Linked DNA regions of Arabidopsis thaliana. Each later gene encodes a partner of the first gene's protein in a complex. Each region holds a gene or a part of one and is shown on either strand. Other genes may lie near its edges. The genes, in order: NOL, HCAR, NYE1 and ACD2.

The links.
Region 2: NOL (region 1) and HCAR share a complex: the UniProt entries of both Arabidopsis thaliana proteins name them as parts of the SGR1-CCE-LHCII complex.
Region 3: NOL (region 1) and NYE1 share a complex: the UniProt entries of both Arabidopsis thaliana proteins name them as parts of the SGR1-CCE-LHCII complex.
Region 4: NOL (region 1) and ACD2 share a complex: the UniProt entries of both Arabidopsis thaliana proteins name them as parts of the SGR1-CCE-LHCII complex.

Annotation. Positions count from the first base shown.
Region 1 is NC_003076.8:1,432,703-1,438,168, forward strand, and holds NOL (NYC1-like protein), read left to right. Parts: upstream 1-2,071; 5' UTR 2,072-2,123; coding exon 2,124-2,391; intron 2,392-2,510; coding exon 2,511-2,579; intron 2,580-2,710; coding exon 2,711-2,769; intron 2,770-2,865; coding exon 2,866-2,952; intron 2,953-3,090; coding exon 3,091-3,158; intron 3,159-3,245; coding exon 3,246-3,294; intron 3,295-3,381; coding exon 3,382-3,467; intron 3,468-3,573; coding exon 3,574-3,631; intron 3,632-3,716; coding exon 3,717-3,767; intron 3,768-3,955; coding exon 3,956-4,006; intron 4,007-4,081; coding exon 4,082-4,123; intron 4,124-4,220; coding exon 4,221-4,331; intron 4,332-4,444; coding exon 4,445-4,492; 3' UTR 4,493-4,793; downstream 4,794-5,466. Other genes in the region: ABO6 (DEA(D/H)-box RNA helicase family protein), read left to right, coding at 1-103, 339-647, 739-798, 897-1,049, 1,144-1,254, 1,335-1,814; AT5G04910 (DNA repair REX1-B protein), read left to right, coding at 4,993-5,192, 5,430-5,466. UniProt on the Arabidopsis thaliana protein: Required for chlorophyll b degradation. Chlorophyll b, chlorophyllide b, pheophorbide b and pheophytin b can be used as substrates. Belongs to the chlorophyll catabolic enzymes (CCEs).
Region 2 is NC_003070.9:1,281,446-1,288,282, forward strand, and holds HCAR (coenzyme F420 hydrogenase family / dehydrogenase, beta subunit family), read right to left. Parts: upstream 5,175-6,837; 5' UTR 5,048-5,174; coding exon 4,966-5,047; intron 4,557-4,965; coding exon 4,451-4,556; intron 4,359-4,450; coding exon 4,274-4,358; intron 4,183-4,273; coding exon 4,071-4,182; intron 3,925-4,070; coding exon 3,840-3,924; intron 3,736-3,839; coding exon 3,694-3,735; intron 3,560-3,693; coding exon 3,481-3,559; intron 3,397-3,480; coding exon 3,345-3,396; intron 3,246-3,344; coding exon 3,183-3,245; intron 3,009-3,182; coding exon 2,911-3,008; intron 2,834-2,910; coding exon 2,798-2,833; intron 2,718-2,797; coding exon 2,656-2,717; intron 2,552-2,655; coding exon 2,524-2,551; intron 2,429-2,523; coding exon 2,349-2,428; intron 2,264-2,348; coding exon 2,194-2,263; intron 2,096-2,193; coding exon 2,038-2,095; intron 1,878-2,037; coding exon 1,813-1,877; intron 1,718-1,812; coding exon 1,623-1,717; intron 1,515-1,622; coding exon 1,424-1,514; 3' UTR 718-1,423; and 1 more. Other genes in the region: AT1G04625 (Polynucleotidyl transferase, ribonuclease H-like superfamily protein), read right to left, coding at 6,386-6,475, 6,787-6,837. UniProt on the Arabidopsis thaliana protein: Probable iron-sulfur flavoprotein that converts 7-hydroxymethyl chlorophyll a to chlorophyll a using ferredoxin as a reducing equivalent. Catalyzes the reduction of a hydroxymethyl group to a methyl group. Belongs to the chlorophyll catabolic enzymes (CCEs).
Region 3 is NC_003075.7:12,015,936-12,020,562, reverse strand, and holds NYE1 (non-yellowing 1), read left to right. Parts: upstream 1-1,919; 5' UTR 1,920-1,956; intron 1,957-2,028; 5' UTR 2,029-2,593; coding exon 2,594-2,734; intron 2,735-2,851; coding exon 2,852-3,025; intron 3,026-3,219; coding exon 3,220-3,387; intron 3,388-3,463; coding exon 3,464-3,787; 3' UTR 3,788-4,100; downstream 4,101-4,627. Other genes in the region: PYR4 (pyrimidin 4), read right to left, coding at 81-246, 316-452, 568-749, 942-1,090, 1,219-1,248. UniProt on the Arabidopsis thaliana protein: Magnesium chelatase involved in chlorophyll a degradation in the chlorophyll-protein complexes of photosystem I (PSI) and photosystem II (PSII). Contributes to the degradation of PSI and PSII in the thylakoid membranes.
Region 4 is NC_003075.7:17,440,793-17,445,015, reverse strand, and holds ACD2 (accelerated cell death 2 (ACD2)), read right to left. Parts: upstream 2,405-4,223; 5' UTR 2,390-2,404; coding exon 2,048-2,389; intron 1,872-2,047; coding exon 1,254-1,871; 3' UTR 721-1,253; downstream 1-720. Other genes in the region: CEN2 (centrin 2), read right to left, coding at 1-138, 245-272, 361-397, 475-604, 699-701; HSF4 (heat shock factor 4), read right to left, coding at 3,310-3,945, 4,138-4,223. UniProt on the Arabidopsis thaliana protein: Catalyzes the key reaction of chlorophyll catabolism, porphyrin macrocycle cleavage of pheophorbide a (pheide a) to a primary fluorescent catabolite (pFCC).

The DNA.
Region 1 (5,466 bases):
GCTGATAATGGGTGCCATCTTCCGCTGCTTTGATCCGATCCTGACAATTGTATCAGGGCTAAGTGTCAGAGATCCTTTCCTTCTACCTCAAGACAAAAAAGACGTAAGTATAAGGACTCATGGACGAACATTTATTTTTATCATGATGTACGGTGATTGGTTGATTAATTGGCAAATAAATGTTTTTAAAACTTACTTTTTGGTCTTTTGAATTTTATTGAAGAGTGGGTTTTTATAGGCGGTTTTAAGCCAATAGATAGATGGATATATAACTTTTTATGAAGTATGTTGTGGTTTAATCTCTCAAACTGAGAGATGATTTCCTTGTTTTATTTTAGTTAGCTTTATCAGCCAAGTTGAGATTCTCAGCCAAAGACTACAGTGACCATATGGCACTCGTTCGTGCCTTTGAAGGGTGGAAAGATGCTGAAAGAGAAGGATCGGCTTATGAGTTTTGTTGGAGGAATTTCCTGTCAGCTCAGACGCTTCAGGCGATACATTCTCTGAGGAAGCAGTTCAACTATATTTTGAAAGAAGCTGGCTTAGTTCATGATGATTTAGCTCTCAACAACAAGCTAAGTCACAACCAGTCTCTGGTTCGTGCTGTCATTTGCTCTGGCCTATTCCCTGGAATAGCATCTGTTGTGGTAAGTCTAAGACCCATGTCTCTGGCTAAGTCTCCTTTCTCGTGTCAGAGATTTCGGTGAAATAACCTTGTTGTCCTTTTTCTTTGCACAGCACAGAGAGACTTCCATGTCATTCAAGACAATGGATGATGGCCAAGTATCACTATACGCGGTGAGCCTCTTCATTCGTATTTCCCAACATCATTACTTGAGTCTCTCGATATGGCCATCTTTTTTATTTAAATGGTTTTTACGGTTTCTATGTTTCAGAATTCTGTTAATTCGCGGTTCCCAACAATTCCATACCCTTGGCTAGTCTTTGGAGAGAAAGTAAAGGTCAATGCGGTACTCATACGGGACTCCACTGGTGTCCCTGATTCCAGTTTGATCCTTTTTGGTGGTTCATTGAGCACGGGAGTACAGGTGATTTCTCTCATTTTCCTCTTTTTAACCCTTACACTAGTCAGATTATGGAATACTCCGGAATCGAATGGATTGAATGTTGTGTTGTTTCCAGGTGGGACATCTAAAAATGCTTGACGGGTACATTGATTTCTTCATGGATCCAAATTTGGCTGAGTCCTATGTAAAGCTGAAGGAAGAACTCGATAAGCTTCTTCAAAAAAAGGCGAGTTTTTTTCAATTTTAAAAGGAAAAAGTGTTCGTAGTGCAGCACTTTAACACCTTTAGTATCTTTACGATTTGCAGCTTGAAGATCCAAGCATGGACATCCACAAAGAAGGCAAGTACCTCATGCTTGCAGTTCAAGAACTTGTGGCTGGAGACCAATGCGAAGGCAGATTTGTCTTTGGCCGTGACACAAAGAGGCCAAGCCAACCGCAAATAGGAGAGAACAAACACTCCAAAGACGGGACAAACCCGAAGAGTCTCCTTCAGACACTTTTGATGAGAGCTGGACACTCACCTCCAAAGTACAAGACAAAACATCTCAAGACAAACGAATTCAGAGCACTTGTGGAGTTTAAAGGAATGCAGTTCGTTGGGAAGCCTCAGAGGAATAAAACGCTCGCTGAGAAAGATGCTGCTGTTGAGGCCTTAGCTTGGTTGACTCATACCTCTGATAATAGTACTGGCCAACACAATGAGGATGCAGATTCTCCACCTGATGTTACTGATAACATGCTTAAACTCCTTGGAGGACGGCGCAGGCGATCCAAGGGCAAGTAATTGAATCTCTGTAGGTTTTTTCGCAGACAGATTTGGTTTGTGTAACTGTGCTTTGGACGATCTCAAATACCAACCAAAGCAGATAGAGAAATTATACTTCAGTAGTCACTATGTAACTATAGTGTCGTTTTTGGGGCAGAACAATAGTGTAGGGTTATAAACATAAAATCTAGAAACTTTAGGGGCTATGATGTATTTTGAACAATAATTGGGGTTATTATCATCTTATATGCCGCCACGTGGCATTTAACTCTCTCTGAGCTTGCTCGCTTACGCAACTCTCTCTCTCTCTCTCTTTGAGCTTCTGTAATGGCTACTTGGAGTGGTTTCAACGTCTCTTCTTCTCCGTTGCTTAGGCTTCGGTCTTCCTCCGTCTCAAATGTCACTAAGCTTCCGTTTCTCTCTCCTATTTGCCGGCGTCGGTTACTGGCAGAACGCTTTGGTCTCGCAACTGTCGTTGTTACGCGCCAAAACCTCACGGTTACTCCGTCGTCTGCGGCGGTGGAAGCTCGTATCTCAGGGAAAAGAGAACCTATGACGCCTCCGTATAACATATTGATCACTGGCTCAACCAAAGGTTTCATTCACTCTGTCTTTGTCAATTGACTCGAGTTTTTAATCTTCAGAAGGGAAAAAACATATTTTTTTATCTCATTGTGTCTCTAAAGAGTGGTTTTTGATTTATTGATTGTTCAGGTATAGGATATGCATTAGCTAGAGAGTTTCTGAAAGCAGGCGACAATGTTGTGATTTGCTCTAGATCAGGTTAGAACCTGTCCCCATTGTTGTCTTGAACTCCTTTTCTAGAGTTTGTGTGTCTGTAAGGAAACATGCAAGCAAGTAATAGAACCAATCTTCAGTAGAATTTTGCTGTTATGGCTGTTCCTGTCTTGCAGCTGAACGAGTTGAGACTGCTGTTCAGAGTCTTAAGGAAGAATTTGGGGAGCATGTGTGGGTACCGCCTTCTTTTACTGTTCTTTTCCATTCGTGTGGTCTTCCAAGGTTTTTGCTTTATGTGCATTGATATCATGAAACCATTTTCTCTTAGTAGGGAACTAAGTGTGATGTTACGGAAGGGAAGGATGTGAGGGAACTTGTAGCTTATAGTCAGAAGAATCTTAAATACATTGACATTTGGGTACACTCTCAAAACTATGAAGAACGTTCATTTGTTGGTGACATCTGTGTTAATGTTGTTCAGAGTATTTTACTATGTTTTCTTTTCAATTTTGTAACCATAGAAATAGTCTTATAATACCATCTTGAGATGATACAGATAAATAATGCGGGATCTAATGCATATAGCTTTAAACCTTTGGCAGAGGCCTCAGATGAGGATCTTATGTAAGTCTTGTGTTAAGCTTGATCCTTCTCTTCGTTAGTTTCTATGTGATTGGTTTCAGTCATTTACTTTTTGAAATCTTTATGCAGTGAAGTTGTGAAAACCAACACTCTAGGTCTCATGTTATGTTGCCGAGAGGTAGTCAAAGATGTTATAAGGAGATGAATTCAGCGTGTCTTTTGTTATTATCAGTTGGATTTACTGACATGTGTTCATGATTATTAGGCAATGAATATGATGTTGACCCAATCTCGAGGTGGTCATATCTTCAATATTGATGGAGCTGGTTCAGATGGGAGACCAACACCCAGGTTTGCTAGATTCATTAAAGTTTCTTGGGAACATGCTTTAGTAAATCTCCTTTAGGCTCTCTTCTCTGTACTGTCTAATAGCATTTTTTTGATTAACGTTTGACAGATTTGCTGCATATGGTGCAACTAAACGGAGTGTCGTTCACCTGACAAAGTCATTACAGGTAATGCCAGAGTTATATCTGTTGAACTCTTCTTCGTTTTCCCTTCTCCTTATATGACTTCTCTAGTAATTCCTGTCTTTCATAGGCAGAGTTGCAGATGCAAGATGTCAAAAATGTCGTGGTGCATAATCTATCGGTATGAATACAATATATTGCTTCATTTCATTTTTGGTTGTTTTTAGTGTCTTCCTAAATACACTGATACAGACATGCGCATAGAGATGAATAGAATGGATGGATTATAGTTATTTGAACAATTTGAATGAATTCAGGATCTAAACATGATCATAATTCTAATGTGTTTTCTCTGGATTATTGTTGCAGCCTGGAATGGTCACAACTGATCTGCTCATGTCCGGAGCAACTACAAAACAAGTTCGATGACTTAACACTGAGGAAATATTTAGATTCCATTTCAAGAGATTCTCTCTAATACGTTCTCTATTGCAGGCCAAGTTCTTCATTAATGTTTTGGCAGAGCCAGCCGAAGTGGTAAGAACCCATTAACTCTTAATTCTTTTTAGCACAACAATTTGACACGATCTCTAATCTCTAGCCCCATGATTCATGATCACACATTCGTTTGCAGGTGGCTGAGTACCTTGTCCCAAACATAAGGGCAATACCGGCTAGCGGATCTATGAAGCCGACTTACATCCGTTTCCTAACTGGAATCAAAGCCTACACCAAAATATTCTCAGTTAAGACGATTAATAGCTCTGCGTAGAAGTAAATCAAAGCATGTAAACTATTTCTGCAAATTACTTAACCAATTTGTTTTTTTCTTTGTCAAATTTTGGGAATTTGTTTCAGAGAGTTGCGTTGGGAGCAAGGAAGAACAGGTATGTTACTGAAGAGTAGGTGTCAAACTAAGTATTAGAATTGTATTGCTTTCTCAGTTTGTTCAATGGTAAATAAAAACCTCTACATTTTGTTCATGACAACTCCAAAACATGCAATCTATTGTACAATTTGGATTTAAGCTCATTTGCAAAAATGTGAGATTTCTCAGTTAATGATTGAAGTGATGATTTAAAAGTCAGTTTTTTTTTTCCAACCATAATAATTTATAGGCACTATTTTGAGAATCAGACCAGATTTGTCGAGACTGGGATCCAAATGCCTGTGGTCTAGTTTACAATTTAACAAGCAGCAAAAATGTCATTCCAAACCAATCAAACCGGGTAAAACCGAAGAACCGCCTCAACCGGACTTGATATCAAAGCGATTAAAATCAAATTACGGTTCAATTTAGTAAAATCGACTAAACCGGTTAGTTCGCAACTTTCTCTTTGCTTCTTCGTCTCTCTCTCTCTGTCGTGTTTGAGAAGACGAAAAGAGTCGGAGAGAAAGATCGGACGATGAGTGCCGAAGATTTCCAGAAGAAGGTTTCCCTCAGAGATTCCCTCTCCGGCGATATTGAGAACGAATGCGGCGGTTCCGGTGTCGGGTCTACTAGTTCGACGGTGGGCTCCGGCGTCGCCTCTCAAACCCTGGTCCTGCTTCGGAGTCTGTTGGAGATTCAGCAGCGCCGAGCTCAGGCTTACGCCAATCTCAAAAGGTTCGATTGATTCATTGGAAATCTCTCAAAGAGTTAGTTTATTTGTTGCGGTTTTGTTAAGTTCCAATTGATCCATTGCCTGAGAGTTAGACTTTGTTGGTGAATGTTGAAATTGAGGCAAATAGTGTGAAGGATAGAGAGGGAGATGTTTTTTATATTCGTAGATTTCCATGTTTTTGTTACTGAGATCTTCCTCTATTAATCTGAGCTGACTATGTTTTCGAATTCAATTATCAGTGGATTCTCAGAGTATGTGGAGTCTGGTGCTGAAGCA
Region 2 (6,837 bases), on another chromosome or scaffold:
ATAGGGGGATTTTTCTTTGTTTTTTTAGGAAGATGTGGCTTTTTTATGTATTTTTATTTTAAGAGTGCTTTATTTTGTTGTTGTATTTTTTTTAAATCTTCATTTTAGATTTTGAACTCTTGTAAGAAGTTTTGCTTAATCTAATATGACAAATATATTTTACGGTTTTGTAATTCTTTTCTCAACGATGCATGTTGTGTTATCTCTATGATGATGTTGTTGATCAGGAAAAGAAACAACTAATTTCATGCTGTTTCATTATTGGAAGAATACTCTCACAAGTTAGAGCTGTTATTTAACTGATTAAGGAATTATTAGCCATTTTGTAATCATTATATTTGGCAAATGATTGATTTACACATGATTGTCTTGGACAGTCCATATTAAAGTTGTTTCATGGATTACAACCTCCAGGGAACACAAGTTGAAAATACTGAAACATGCATTTCTGTAGGATATGCAAAATCCATTAGGGATGAACAATGTATCTAATTTGAAACACAGATGGATAATAAATATAACATTATACAACTTTCTCAGAAAAACTTGAGTGAAATCATATATTATATATGATGTTGGATCTAGTTATAAATATATATATACTGAAACAGATACAGATACAGATCCAAAATATGCAATACGTAAATGAATTCTCTAACATTGTTATATGTCAAATTGCAACTCAAAATTAATTCAAGGTACCAAAGTAAGCTTTATTTCACTTAAATATATTATTAGAAAAAACGTTTACATGCTCTGTATTAGGACAATGCCTCTGGTGAGAAAAAATCAACTATGGTGCAAAAGAGCAGAGACATTTATGAGTTTCACTTGAGGTCTGAGAGTCTCTGCAGCAAAGTCATTGAACGAGCAGAGCAGAGACTTGACTAACAAAAAGACAAAAAAAGAAAAAAAGAGAGAGAGTAAAATTTGAAGTTTCCAATGTGTGAAATATGGTGATGAGTAAGTTAGTGAGTGAGTGAGTGAGTGAGCGAGCGAGTGAAGCTTAACCATGGTTCCTTCTTCTTTGTCCAAGCAAAAAAAAGACATTAAAAGCTAATTCCCCCCAACTGTGTAAATGTCTGGTTCCCATCCTCTTAAAACAGTTATTCATGTTCTCATGCAAAACCCTGCAACCTTTTACTCGGACATCACCTTAACCTAAAGATATGGAGGAAGGAACCCACATGGGTTGATTTGGATTCAGCCGCTGATTTAGACTGTTTCTTATTCTCTGTTCTCTGCCAAAAAACACCAAACCGACCCATCTTTTCTTGCCGGTGTCTTACCAAATTCACGAGGGAAATAGTTTTGGATATTACTAACATACTACAAGTTGAGAAACAGTAGGACCAATGTACATTTACTCACTTGTAGGATGAAATATACATTTGGAAACTTACATGAGAAAGGCCTAAAATGTTCATTTCTTGGAGAGCATTTTATCTATTTGGCCGTTTTTGTTGTACATTTCCACTATCTTTTTGGCATATGATGGCATGTGGGTGTTTGCTCTGTAGATGGTAATGCAGCTTTGGTCATTAGAGAACGATCCAATAGTATAGAAATACACAGTTGATCGCAATAAACTTTTATCTCTAGGAGTGTGTTTCAGATCTTACCTTTGCTTTCCCCATTTGCGGTTTACGTACAAATAGTTTCTGATGGTATGGTAGTCCAACGAGTACCGAGCAAATTCTAGACCCTTAGGACCAACCTGAAGCAAGAATGGTTTTGCAAGTTAAGAAACTCTTTGACTTTTTATGCAATGAGCTTGTTTCTCGGTTTGTGTTCATAAGGAAATAATCTTACCAAATTTAGGATGAACGCAATAATGTTTCCAACAAATAGTGGCGCTGGCTGAGCAGGACCTTGACCTAAGAAATTATAGACTAGTTAGAAGACTTTAGCACAATGTTAGTTGCATGCATTTGCTGAGAACTTTCTTTTTGGCATCTAGCTTTGCTTGAAACTGAATGTCTTTAAGCAGAGACGATTCAAGAAACAAAAGAGTTTCGAATACGTTTGAAAACATACCAAACTTAGCAGCATCGTCTGCCTTAACAGTTTCTGTCACAAAAGGTCGCCGATCACCCTGAAACAACAACAAAAGGTGTGTTTGTTCATGTTATTTGTTAAGTGGACTCTTAAAGTCTTAAATATAACAACAAATATAAATGTTAGAAACTTTACGCTGCTGATTGTTGGAGTGATCTCCAAAAGGTTTTCTACCAAGCTGAGCATTTCTTTCCCACGTTCATTTCTGTGGTTTAAGGCATAAACAAAACTAATTTTATCCAACCACGAGAACCTATATGGTCCATGTCAAAATACGTAGAAATATTGACCTCACTGTAATATACTGTGGATGGTCAGTCATGTTCAGACCTGAATACTTCGGAACACCCATGTAACCGATAACCAAATCCTAGATAAACAAGCTCATACATATCAGGAAATGTTTGAAATTGGCAGAATCAAAATTAAGTGAAAAGACATCTTAATTGCTAGAGAAACACTCACCGCTAATGCATTTGTGTAATCAAAGCAGCTGCAGAATAAAAAAGATAGGGTTTGTAATTGTAGACAAGTTTTAAAAATTTCCGACAGGTTATCTATTTCAAGGTATAGAGACAATGCAGAGACTTGTATTACCTGTAACACGATGGAGCTATGACATCTACTAAATCGTTTGCAGGTAGAGAGAAATAGGGAACCTGCTTTAGCCAAAAAAAGTTTTTTAAAAACGGCTTTCAGCTGCAATTGCAGAGCAACACAGTATTTTAAGCGAATTTACCTCTTCAATGTGTCCATCCAAGTGTTTGAGTTGGACCTATAAGAGAAATTGAACAAGATTGGCATCACCAAAGAAAATGCACAGATAAGTGATGGTTTTGTATTAATGCTAACCTTGTAATCTTGCATAAATTCATAATGGAGAACAGTCTCTGGCTCTTTACTAGCTGCTTTCAGAAACTTGTCTAGTCCATCTCGTGTTCCGTTGTCCACTATTAATCAAAGATGTTCTTTTTACTTGTTTAAAAATGTATAAGCATTTCTAGACCTAAGCATACAAGACTCCGAAATAACATATACAACATGGAATGTTCAAAAGTACAACACAAGAACTAGTTGTGAAAGTTCTGGAGAAAAAACAAATCTAGATAGGATGAGGAAAATACCACAATTGGTGCCTAGTACATACAACTTTTCCAGATTCAGATGCTGCTCCACTGATCTCAATGCTGCAGTATAAGAAATCACTCTGCATTACAATACTATGAGAGTCACGATATGGAGAAACTTGAAATATACGTCCACAAAAAAGTATGTTGAGCCCATACCTTGCACTTGGCAACCCACACCGCAAAACAGAAGACGCTTCACTCCGGAAGCCTGTTACAATACAAATTCTAAGTTCATGTGAAATGGATTCAGTGATTGAAAACACAAACAAGAAATAAGGGTTTGGCAAATAACCTCGATTAATTCAAGAGTATTCAGATTAGGAGACAGAGTTGGCTTGACACCTCTTGCAGCCAAAACTTCTTCAGGTGTCCTTAGAATGAAAAGAAATGAAACATCAATACGCTTCTATATCCAGAGTAACAGCAAAATATGGATCCACATCTAAAAAATGGCGACTTGAAGAAGAATGGACTCAAAATAAACCACATTAGGAAGGTGGAAAACCTGGCTAATACTGGTCTTGGAGATAATCTGTCTTCAGGATCACTGTAATATTTCAATAAATCAGTTACATGGATAGATGGAAAAATCTACAGCATGGTCGATAAATGTAAGCCTAGTCCATTTCTGAAATTCAACAGTAGTTTTACCTCTGCACACAAACGACAGCTTCAACCATATTAGATTTCAGCATCTCAATGGCTATGGTTGTGACAATTCCAGTCCACTGAGCTCCTGCAACCGAAAATAGAATGAAAAGTAAACAACAAAGCTAAGCTAAATTCATCTTGAACGAGACACAAAAGTGCCCTAGCTTAGATTGAGCCAGGAAAAGAAGTTAGTAGAAAATGTGGAACAGTGGAAGGGAAGTGTCTATTTACCTTCGACAGGCTTCAACTTACGAGCATAGAGCTGCTCTTGATGCACCCCAAAATATGTATCTTGTAAGGAATCTGCTTTCCTTCCTCTACCATGCACAACAGGTTCCAAGCTCTGCACAAGAACTTAAAATATTAACAAAATAAGAATCTTAGCCCATCAATTAAAAAGAGTATCAAATCTTATCCATTTATATGGACATTACCTCAATCCTTGACATTCCATCTCCAAGAAATGCACATGCCTCCTTCACATGGGCAATGTAGTAGGTGTCGCATAGCCCGCACTGACTGCAAACCCATCAGAACACCAAGGATCTTGATAAGAATGAGACAAAAATAGTGAGGTAAACAAACAAACAAACAAAAAAGAAAGAAAAAACCTGCAATGGTCTTTAGCTGGATAGGTTCCTCCGGGTGGGATAGGTCTGGACTTTTCTCTCCAGTCTTCTCTTAATTTAACCTTCTTTTTTGGCTCTAGATTCATATCTGCAATTAAAGCCATAAGAGAAGGGTTCATGCAGGCTTCAGAGAGAAGATAAAAACACACAAGACAAAGATCGATGCTATACGAAACAAAAATCTGTTCCGAAATTCTGATGCTTTCAAACAGAATTGACATTATGCAGTAATACATACTAAGTTAACACAAGATTTCTATCTTCAAACTCGATAGTGACAGCTGTGGAAGACCAAATCAAGCATTCGACAAACATTACCACTATGTTCGAAAAGAAAACTCCGAATCTTAGATAAAATTTCATCCCTTTAACGAATTTCAGGGATCGGTTACACTGAAATTTTGTATAAGACGGGTCTTTTAAAAAACTGAAGAATCAACGACGTGTGTAAAACAGAGTGCTATAAAGAGAAGACGTGGCAGAAATAAATTGAGCACCTTTGGAACGCGAAGAAGAAGAGTTAACGACGGAGAAGACTGGAGGAAGGAGAGAGAGCCTGGAGGTGACGACAGTAATCATGGTTGCCCAGCCAGAGAAGAAGAGAAGAAGAGAAGAAGAGAAGAGAGTAGAGAGAGAGAAAAGAAGATATTTTTTTGCTTTTGAACTTGGATATCTTTTAGGAACCAAACTTGATAACCAATTCTTAACCGGACTGAATGGTTTTGGTTCGTAAGAGCTCTTTCACGGGCTTTCTCCATTTTTTTATTATTAAAATTTTTAAAAAGTTATAAGAGAGTTTTAATTTTTTTTCATATTCTAATGGTAAGCTCTCTTATAAGAGTTTTCTGAAAAATAAAATAAAATTTAAAATAATTATATTTCATATAACTTAATAACTATTGTAAATCAGAAAATATTAAACATATATTATTTTGAAACATTTTAAGAAAGATATGAAAATAAAAACACGGAATAACGATAAGTTCTGTCGATTGTTGCAAAATTTAAAGATTGAAAATAAGAACAAATTGTTTTAAAGAATAACAAGATTGTCGATTAAATCGGTTTTAATTTAAGGACTAAAGTGATAATTTGTATAAAGTATAAGCTCTGATATGATTATAAGTGACTCTATTGCTATATATCTGAAATTCATCTTCTTGTTTCTGTCTCCTTAACTGAATCCATAATGTGTTTATATAGTTATTCATCATATGTTCACAGAATTCTGTGTTTCTTTCATGTGCTAATTGGTACAATGTTAGTTTAATTTTAAGAGTTAAAAATATTTGTACACAAATTAAAGTTTTCACATAATAGTTTTCAGTCTCATATATTGCAACAAGTCTCTATGCAAGCTAACACAAAGGCAGTCTTCCTATGCAAGCTCTTTAGCACATCATTCAGATTATCTGATCGAACTACATACATGGCCACTAACACATAGTCACATACTAACCATCTCCTAACTTGTATTGGTTAAAACGCTCAATTTATAACACCACAACATCGACAAGAAATCGAGAGTAACAACTAAAACATGCTTCCACGACTCTCTATGATTCTACAAATAAACAACAGAGACTACAATAGCATTACTCTAGTTACAAGCAGAACCTAGACAACATAACAAAAGCCAATTCTTGATTCAGAACAAGGAATGATGACTAACTCAAAATGATTGTCAAAGAAACCCATTTCAATACTCTAAAATTGGAAAGCATCAATATAGCAAATGATCATAAGTGGCTGATACAAGGTCCAAAGCATGGATTACGAGAAGAAAACAAAAAATCCACCTTCTTCTTCTTCTTTTGTCTTTTTAGCCTCTGTTTGTTTCTGTTCCTCTCTTACAAAAAGAACTCACCGATCACGAGAACGTCAAAGCTCGATGATCACCATCCATTTTCACCACCGTCAGAACCGTCGGAACTGTAACTCGGTGATCACACCATCAATGATCTCGCCACCGTTTGTCTCTCTGTTTTCTTGCGTTTCACGATCTCTCTAGCAAATCATGGCGGATCTCACCGAGAGTCCCAAGTATTGACGCAAACCACGCGCCGTTGTCACGAGACTCAGGTATGTTGCTTCTCGCTTAAATTCCTATTTGATCTCTTGGAACCTTGGATTTTTAATATTTAGTTTCTGCACAAAAAAGGTCTCTTTGAATTAGGTCAATCAATATTTAGTTTTCTAACCGCAATTTCATCGGAGGAACTAGGGTTTGATCTTGTAGTTTTTTTTTTTTTCCTCAAACATCAGCTTTATTAATAATTTGCTGTAGCAAAGTCGCGATGTAAAAAATCAGTTATTACAAACGGGATATAGTTATAGCAATAAAACTGAGTGTTCAAAGGAAGTTGTTG
Region 3 (4,627 bases), on another chromosome or scaffold:
TATAATCAACAAAATGTTATGAGCTATGCAGATTAACAAAAACCAAAAGACAAGAAATGAAAATAAGATAGTAACAAAACCTTCTTTGCAAGATTCAACAAAATTCACAGCATCCATGGTTGTGATGTGTTCCATCACTACTTTCAGCTGCGGAAGGCGTTGGATTAGAGGCTGCAGAACTGTCTCAATGAAGATTTTCTCGCGGTCAAAGACATCGATACTCGGATCTGTGACCTCCCCATGAACCTAATCAAAACATTCCTCAGACAAGACAAAGACAAAAATACAAGTCTATGTGGTGTATGATTTATTTACCAGCAAAGGCATGTTTTGTTTGACCATCTCTTCTAGTACCGGTAAGCATTTTCCAAAGAGATCCGTGACACCATCTTGAGAGTTGGTTGTTGCTCCGGCAGGGTACAGCTTCACCGCATAAACCACACCACTTTCCCCTAATAACAAGATCATATATGCATAAACTGAACATTAGCAAGTAGAATCTCAATCAGAAAGATGAAAATGTATCTGATTAGTTTGCAACAAGATGGAGAAAGCACAGGTACTTACTTGCAAGCCTGATCTCTTCAGGTAGAGTTTTGTCAGTCAAATAAAGTGTCATAAGTGGATCAAAGCTACTCTCAGATGGCAAAGCTTTCATGATAAATTTCCGGTAAATAATGGCAGCTGCAGTGGAGGTGACAGGAGGCTTCAGATTCGGCATCACAATCGCTCTCTTAAAATTACTCGCACTGCACATAATTACATACACCATTAACCATCATGTACAGCACAAGCATCAACGCCAGCACAAGATTGTGATTGAGGAATTCATACATAACAAACAATGGTTCCACAAGAAACACCAATAGCAAACAAAAAAGTGGCTGCAAAACAAAGTAAAGCAAGGAAAGAAAAGAAAGATTGCAGGATGTTTATAAGACCTGTGGGGAACAACAGCATGAAGAAGATCACCGTCACGGAGATGAAGATGCCAATCATCAGGTTGAGTGATTGTGAGCTCCATTCTTACTGCTCTCGTCTTCACTTTCTCAGAAGATCTGTCAAACTTCAACTTCTGAGATCCAAATCCCTACATAAAGAATAAAATAGTTGACTTTAACAGACGCATAGGAGGAATTAAATAAAATTAAAACTGGATCACGTGGATTGAACTAAACAAGAATAAGACTCAAAGAGTGGTGGAGGTAGAGTACATACACTATAAGGAGAGACCAAAGTCTTTATCATCTGAAAGCTGCTCAAGGCTTTGCAAGAATTCACCTGTTCCAAAGCAAATGACAAGTAGACTCAGATTCTATAACATGACCTTAAAAAATTGACTCTGTTCTAAAGTATTAGCAGGCACTAAAACTATTCAATCATCATCAAAAGATTTCGCATTCCTTTGGTTCAATGTTTCTCCAAACGAAATTTAGTATCCAGATTAATCAAATTTCTATACACACAAATGGGTATCAGCAAAATCCAAAGAAATCAAATTATCCAAACAATAAACCACAAAATGGCGAAACTGGTAAACACCTAGAAACCAAAATCGAAAACTTGAACTTGTTTAGGTAAGCAATACGAACCTGGATAAACGAAATGCACAACAGGGATGCTTACAACACAAACAAAACGAACCCCAAAAAGAGTGATTTGAGGAAGAGATTGAAGGAGAAAGAAGAAGAAAAAACAGTACTCGTGTTTTGTTGTTTACAAGATACGACGTCGCTTAACGTAAAAGAAGAAGAAAAAAATAAAAGCTCTGTAACAGGCCAGCCCAATTTTAGCCCGATATTTTTAATGGACCTGGACCTGATCACAAATTTCAGCCCTTTTTAACATCCTTATGGATCAACATGGGACTCTCTGACTCCTCCGGTTCCATCAATACCTGCGTTTGTTGTCCTTGTTCACGACGATTCAAGCGAAGAAGCCTCTCGAGTTTCACAGGTCTAATAACTAAACCGAGTAATCGAGTCGAATGACATTAAATTGAACCGAAACTAAACCGTATTGCTTTAGGTTCGACTGACAACTACAGTACGTGAGTTAGGTTCGGTTAGAGCCGAATCTGTGTCTCTTTGTCGCAACGAGATGGCTAAAGTTATCCAAAAAGACGGTTAGAGCCAGTTGTTAGCCCCACCATGACGACACATGGGGAAGCTCATGCAAAGATTAGAGAACACGTGGCACTCTCTCGTGTTCAGAAAAATTCCAAAAGAGTGTTCAGATTTGGGCACGGAAGTGTGAAACGTGAAGCAACAATCCCTTTTAAACACAAGAACCAACTCAATACGCATCACAAAGAACCCTAAATTCCTGGAAGATCTCAAAAGGAAAATTCAAAACCAAAGCTTCAAGCAATCATCAAGCAAAGGAAAAGCTCAAATTTTGGGTCTTTTATATATTTATTTCTTAAAGTTACAATCTTTTTGATTGTGGTTTCAGTGTACGAACACGCAAGAACTCGCGTGAAAAAATTGTATCCAAGCTTCGTGAAAGGAGTCTCTCTGTATTTAGTGGCGTTTTGTTCTGTTGTTATTTCTGAAATATTGAAGCTTTTGATTTGGGTTTCAAGAGAGCAGAGATGTGTAGTTTGTCGGCGATTATGTTGTTACCAACGAAGCTGAAACCAGCTTATTCAGACAAACGGAGTAACAGTAGCAGCAGCAGCTCACTCTTCTTCAACAATAGAAGATCCAAGAAGAAGAACCAATCGATTGTTCCCGTAAGGATTTGTTCTCTTAATCATTTTGACATATCTTTGTTTTATGTGTCTCAGTTATGGATATATCTATGCCTCTGTCTTTATTGATGGAACTTGAAACTTTTGGGATCGGTGCAGGTTGCAAGGTTGTTTGGACCGGCGATTTTCGAATCATCCAAATTGAAAGTACTCTTCTTAGGGGTTGATGAGAAGAAGCATCCTTCAACGCTCCCTAGGACTTACACACTCACTCACAGTGACATTACAGCTAAACTAACCTTAGCTATTTCTCAATCCATAAACAACTCTCAGGTAAAAACACCTCTCTCTCTGGTCTTAACATATCTACATGGCTCTGTTTATAGGAGTAGAATGTTTATGTATTTGATTATTTGGAGCAAATATTAGAGGCTTATGTATGATTGTTTTAACCTATGTATGTGTCTATATTCACCAGAATCTCTTAACACTTTAGAGGCTGATATGTATAGAAATGTTTTTTATAGTTGCAAGGATGGGCAAATAGGCTATACCGGGATGAAGTTGTGGCAGAATGGAAGAAAGTGAAAGGGAAAATGTCGCTTCACGTTCATTGTCACATAAGCGGTGGCCATTTCCTTTTAGATCTCTTTGCAAAGTTTCGATATTTCATCTTTTGCAAAGAACTACCTGTGGTAAGTTCCCAAATTCATAAGAAACTTTTTATTGGTTTCATGTAAAACAAAATGTTTATTGTTTTGATATATACAGGTGTTGAAGGCTTTTGTGCATGGAGATGGGAACTTGTTGAACAACTATCCTGAGCTACAAGAAGCTCTTGTTTGGGTCTATTTCCATTCTAATGTCAATGAGTTCAACAAAGTCGAGTGTTGGGGTCCGCTTTGGGAAGCTGTTTCGCCTGATGGTCACAAGACTGAGACTCTTCCCGAGGCTCGGTGTGCGGACGAGTGTAGTTGTTGTTTTCCAACCGTTAGCTCGATTCCATGGTCTCATAGTCTTAGTAATGAAGGTGTAAATGGTTACTCTGGGACTCAGACTGAGGGAATTGCTACTCCAAATCCGGAGAAACTCTAGTGACTAAATATCAAATTACAAGTTTTTCTTTTGGTAGTTTGTACAAAGTGAAAAGGAAATGGCAGGACTTTCCTTTTGGTGGATCTAAATATTGGTTTGGTTTGGTGTACATAATGTGGTATAGGAAAATAATGATTATTTGTAGGTTAAATACAGATTTTAAAGTTTCAAATGGTATTTTGTGTCTACTCTGAAGTCTTTATCATAGTTGTATACTTGTATTGTATCTCATCCACAAGATCAAAATGTAAATTTCTTACAGATTAGCTAATATTAAAGGTGACAGACTGGTATAGTACTACTGCAATGCAAACATAAAGATGAATAAATTGTTGTTTAATGAACATATATATTTTAATATATCAAAACATTCATGAGAATCATCACCAATTTAAAGTTATACTAATATCCCAAATAAGAATAGTTTAGAAATATGAAGATATTCATGAGAATCATCACCAAAGTAACAATAGACGTATATTAAGGACCGAATTCGTCGGTGTAACGGTGAGAAACTAAGGAGAAACGTGAAGGTAAAGAGATGGCAAAAGACTTTGTCTCTCTGGTGGTTTTGCAAAGCGTATCAGCCACTTCTTGCTCCTAATGATTCCAAATTATTTTCTTGGATTTATTTGGTCTCTTTCTTCAATATCTTTTTCATTTTATAACCAAATCAAGATGACTTTTTTTCTCTGACCCCATTCGTCTATCTAATTTACGACCAAATACACCAAATACAGAAAGAGAAGAAGAACAAGTAATATAAGAGAATGGTAACGAATTATTGCATTATTATCATGGGCTTATTTTATAAAATGTTGTGTTCGTAAGTAAATAAAT
Region 4 (4,223 bases), on another chromosome or scaffold:
AATGATCTTAAACGCCTTAGACAATTCGTCTATGGAGTCTCGTTCTCCGAATTTGGTTGTCATCATATGCACAAATTCGTCGAAATCTATGGCTCCACTTTGGTTTTTATCTACTTCTGCCATCAATTCGTTTATTTGCTGCAACAATGAACATGACCAAACTAAATACAAGTTGGTTCTACGTACAATGATCTAAACCATGAAATTAAAACAAAGAAGAAAAAAGGAAGGAAAACAAACAAACCTGATTATTCATCTCAAATCCAAGAGACCTGTAATCAGCTGATAATTTTTTAGTACTATACTTAACTAGAACTTGAAGAAAATAACTTTGAAAAAGAAAGAAAAATTGCCGTTGACCTCATAGCAACGTTGAGCTCGCTAGCATCGATGCTACCTACATATGAAATGATGCACTAAATCATGTGAGCAATAACTTTGTAAATCGGATAAAGAATCGGTTTAATAGTTTACCTGAACCGTCTATGTCGAAAAGATCAAAGATCTCTCTGATCTCTCGTCTCTTCTGATTGGTCAACCCATAAGTCTTCCCTTTAGGCTTTAGACCTCTTCTGAGCTGTGCTGCTTCCGACATGTAATTCGCCTTCCGGAAGACAAAAAGAAAAACAAAACCGATGAACAAAGTAGTCGGATAAAGAATCTAAACTAAGAGACAATCGAGAAAAGAAAACACTAACCATTTCTTGTGTAGGAAGGAAAAGGATGATCTGATAAGAACAAATGGATTAAATGGATGATTTAGTTAATTTGGTTTATGATGCATGCGATGACGAGATTAGTTGCCGATGATCTGTCTCTTTTTTGTCTGGTTACTAACTCTTTTGAAAGCGATTTAGCTTTAAAACTTTTAGTTTTGCACGTTTATGTTCCTTCGTTAATATTAATCTATATATTATATTGGTTTTGCTAATGTAAAATGACATGATCTAGAGAACGAGAAATTTAACAAAACATCCATGTAAAATAGTGAAAAAAAAACTTTAAAATCCATGAGAAAAACAATAATTCAAGACTTTTTTTTACAGATAAATTAGAAACTTGATTGATAAATTTACAATCCCATAGTATTAAAATGAATCAGAAGGAATCCGATTCAGAGATGATTCACAACAAAGACGTTCTTAGGAGAAAACAGGACTTGTTTGATGGTCATCTTGCGTTCTTGTGACATTGATGAAAGTAAATGTTTAGTACAATGAACATTAACTGATGTATATATATAGTTACATAATCTAGAGAACACCGAAAGCTTCTTTAATAGCGTGTACAACACGGGAGGAAACTTCTTCACCAAACATTCTCGGAAACTGCAAATCCAAATCGTCCTCTATGCTCTTCCTTCTAAAGCTTTTATCTCTTCTCTCCAACTCCATTCTCTCTTCTTCCCCAACCACAATCTTCTCTTCTTCTTCCTTCACACACCGCTCCAACCAAACCTCGAGAACCTCCTTAGCAGCTGGACTAACATGATCTCTCAATATCTCCTCCAACTTATCCTCTTCCTCCGCATCAATCTTAAGCATCGAAGCAGTAGGAGAGAAAGCAGAACGGACAAAGAGAGAAGGAGACACATAAGGGTTAACTTCAGGTAGCTTAAGGAGAGATTGTCGATGAGAATCAAGAGCAGTGTCTTGGTAATACTCCTTGAGATAATCCGGGTTAAGAACAAGATCTTTACGATGTGGGAGGTCAAGGATTAGCACAAGCGACTTGGAACTGCTCTGTATTAGTTCGACCACAAAGTTTGGAGCTTTTGTTGATGAGTTTAAGAATCCAGAGATGCTTGTTATATTCAAAGATACTCCTGTTGGGATCTTGCAATGTATCCAACTTCCTATAACAAAATCAATCTGCAAAACAAAACAAACTTTAAGATTCTCTAAAAAGTTTTTTTTTAGGGTTATGATTTACATCGAAATTGAAGTCTGTTTCTACTTAAAATCAAGCAATTGAGCTCTAAAACAAGCATGCAAAACAGTCAATTTCGATCTCATAACTGAAAAACAGAGTTAATCGTCGCAAGTACCGGAGAAGATTTGTCGCCGGATCTGATATGAAGAGATGCTTCGGCGGAACCGTTAGGGTTATTGAAGTTTCGTACATCTGGAGGGAGGTTACAGGGAAGGAGTTGTGATTGGAGGCGATTCTCCACCGTCGACATGAGATCAACCATGAGCTGCTTCCGCGTGGGTGACACATACGGGAACTCCATAAATTTTCGGCGGAGGTGATCGTCGTGGTCTTCCATGGACTGGAATTGAGCTCGAGGTCTGAGATTCTTTGAGAATCGCGACGGTTTTGAAGTTAACGGCGAGAGATATGATGGAGAAGAAGAAGAGTAGAGAGTGTTGCAAAATATCATCGCCATTTTTTATGTGGCTATGACTAAATTATGTCTCTTCTTTTTTATTTACACTTTTGAAGAAATTAATTACTATTTTACCGGGATTATAGTTTTGTGGTTTGTAATATATTTCTTGTGGTGAATTATTACATACACATATTTAAATAAAATAAACTATGCTTTTTAATTTTTAAATGGTTTGAGAGTTGGTAAGTGATCTTCTTCTACTCAATCAAGTGATGCAAGTATTGGGCCAAGAGCGACTTAATTGGGCAAACAAATAATAAGAATAAATTTCTAAATTTTTCGATTCTTAAACAAGTAAATGATTTGTTTGTTGTAGAGCTAGTTGGAATTATTTTTCTCTCTAGTTAAGTAGTGTCTTTGGAACCTTACTAAATTTTTATTTAATTTCATAGCATTTTCTATTTAGTATATTGCTGTATTTTTTCGATTCCTTGAAGACATCTTTATTTTTATTTTCCTGATAAAGAGTTCTAGAAAATGTTTCTGTGACTTTTATAAAGACAATTTCGAGGGAAAAATATTCAACGGATTACGTAAAAACACGGAAACCACCTACTACTACTTGCAAAGAAAATCAATCAAACATAAAAGTAAAATTTCTTCCTCTTTCACAAGTTTTCAACTAAGTAGATGACCTTAGACCAAGTATTTCACATGCTTTTTTACATTATGAAGACATAAATTAAGCAACAATAAAACTTCAACATCTGTTTTATTTTCTTAATACACTAATTAAATTATATAATACATGAAAATCCATTTATATATTTGCGTTGATCCTTCTGGACCTTCTTCACCTTTTTAAAACATAAAAATAACTTTTCTTCCTTACGGAAAAAAATAGTTTTTTAAATCATTTTTTTCGTCGTCGTCGATGACGTGTCACACGCTGGTTTGAACAGTCTTCTACTCTTTTTTTAGTTGCAGACTTTGCTGCTTTTCCACAACGGCGCGTGAAAGTCCACGTTCTTTATTTCCGTCATACGGGACCCACTCACCACATAATTCTTTTCATCCCGGTCCCTCTTTTTTCTCTCTCCTTTCAACCACACCCCAAACAATTTCAATCCTTCACCTACCCCCTCCTCTGCTCCTCCGCCGCCGTCGCAACCTTCGCACTCACTCTCTTCGTCAGACTCCACCGGTTTAAATTTCCCTCCTTTGATCATTTTATCGATTTGTTCCGGTCTTACTTTCAGATGACCCGTCAAGAACGTCACTAGCTCATCGCGCTGCTTCTTCGCCGCCGCGAGCTCCGAGCTCAAGTTATTGTTTTCACGTTTAAGCTTCTCGTTCTCTCCTGATAAATCAGCAACCATGTTCTCCACCGAACCAGGATTCTTCGACGAACCGGGTGATGACGTGGAGCTTGAACCGTGATCATCACCACCACCAGAATTAGACTCAGAAGGCGAACCAACAACAACACATTTCCCCGCCGTTGAAGCAATCACCGATTTACGCCGTCGTATGTCCGTCAACAGATCCTCCCCGCCTCTCCGGAAATAATCGTTTGCAAATTCCCATTTATCCGGTACAGTTTTACGAAATCCCTAAACCAAAAAAAAAAAAAAAAAAAGAACAAGAACATTCTCAGCTTCTAGAAGGTTTTCTCACCAACCCCCAAATTATGAGAAAATTACGAAATTGGCTAACCAACTACAAAAGAATGATTCAATTCACCAAACGAATTAAATGAAGCATTAAATTGAGAGTAAATGAGTTTTCGTTAGAGTGAAACTCACGTAAGTGTTGAGCTGACGAATGAAGCTTGAGAAATTATTATGCTTGAAGTATTGAGGAAGAAGATCTTTAGCAAACTCTGCTGTTT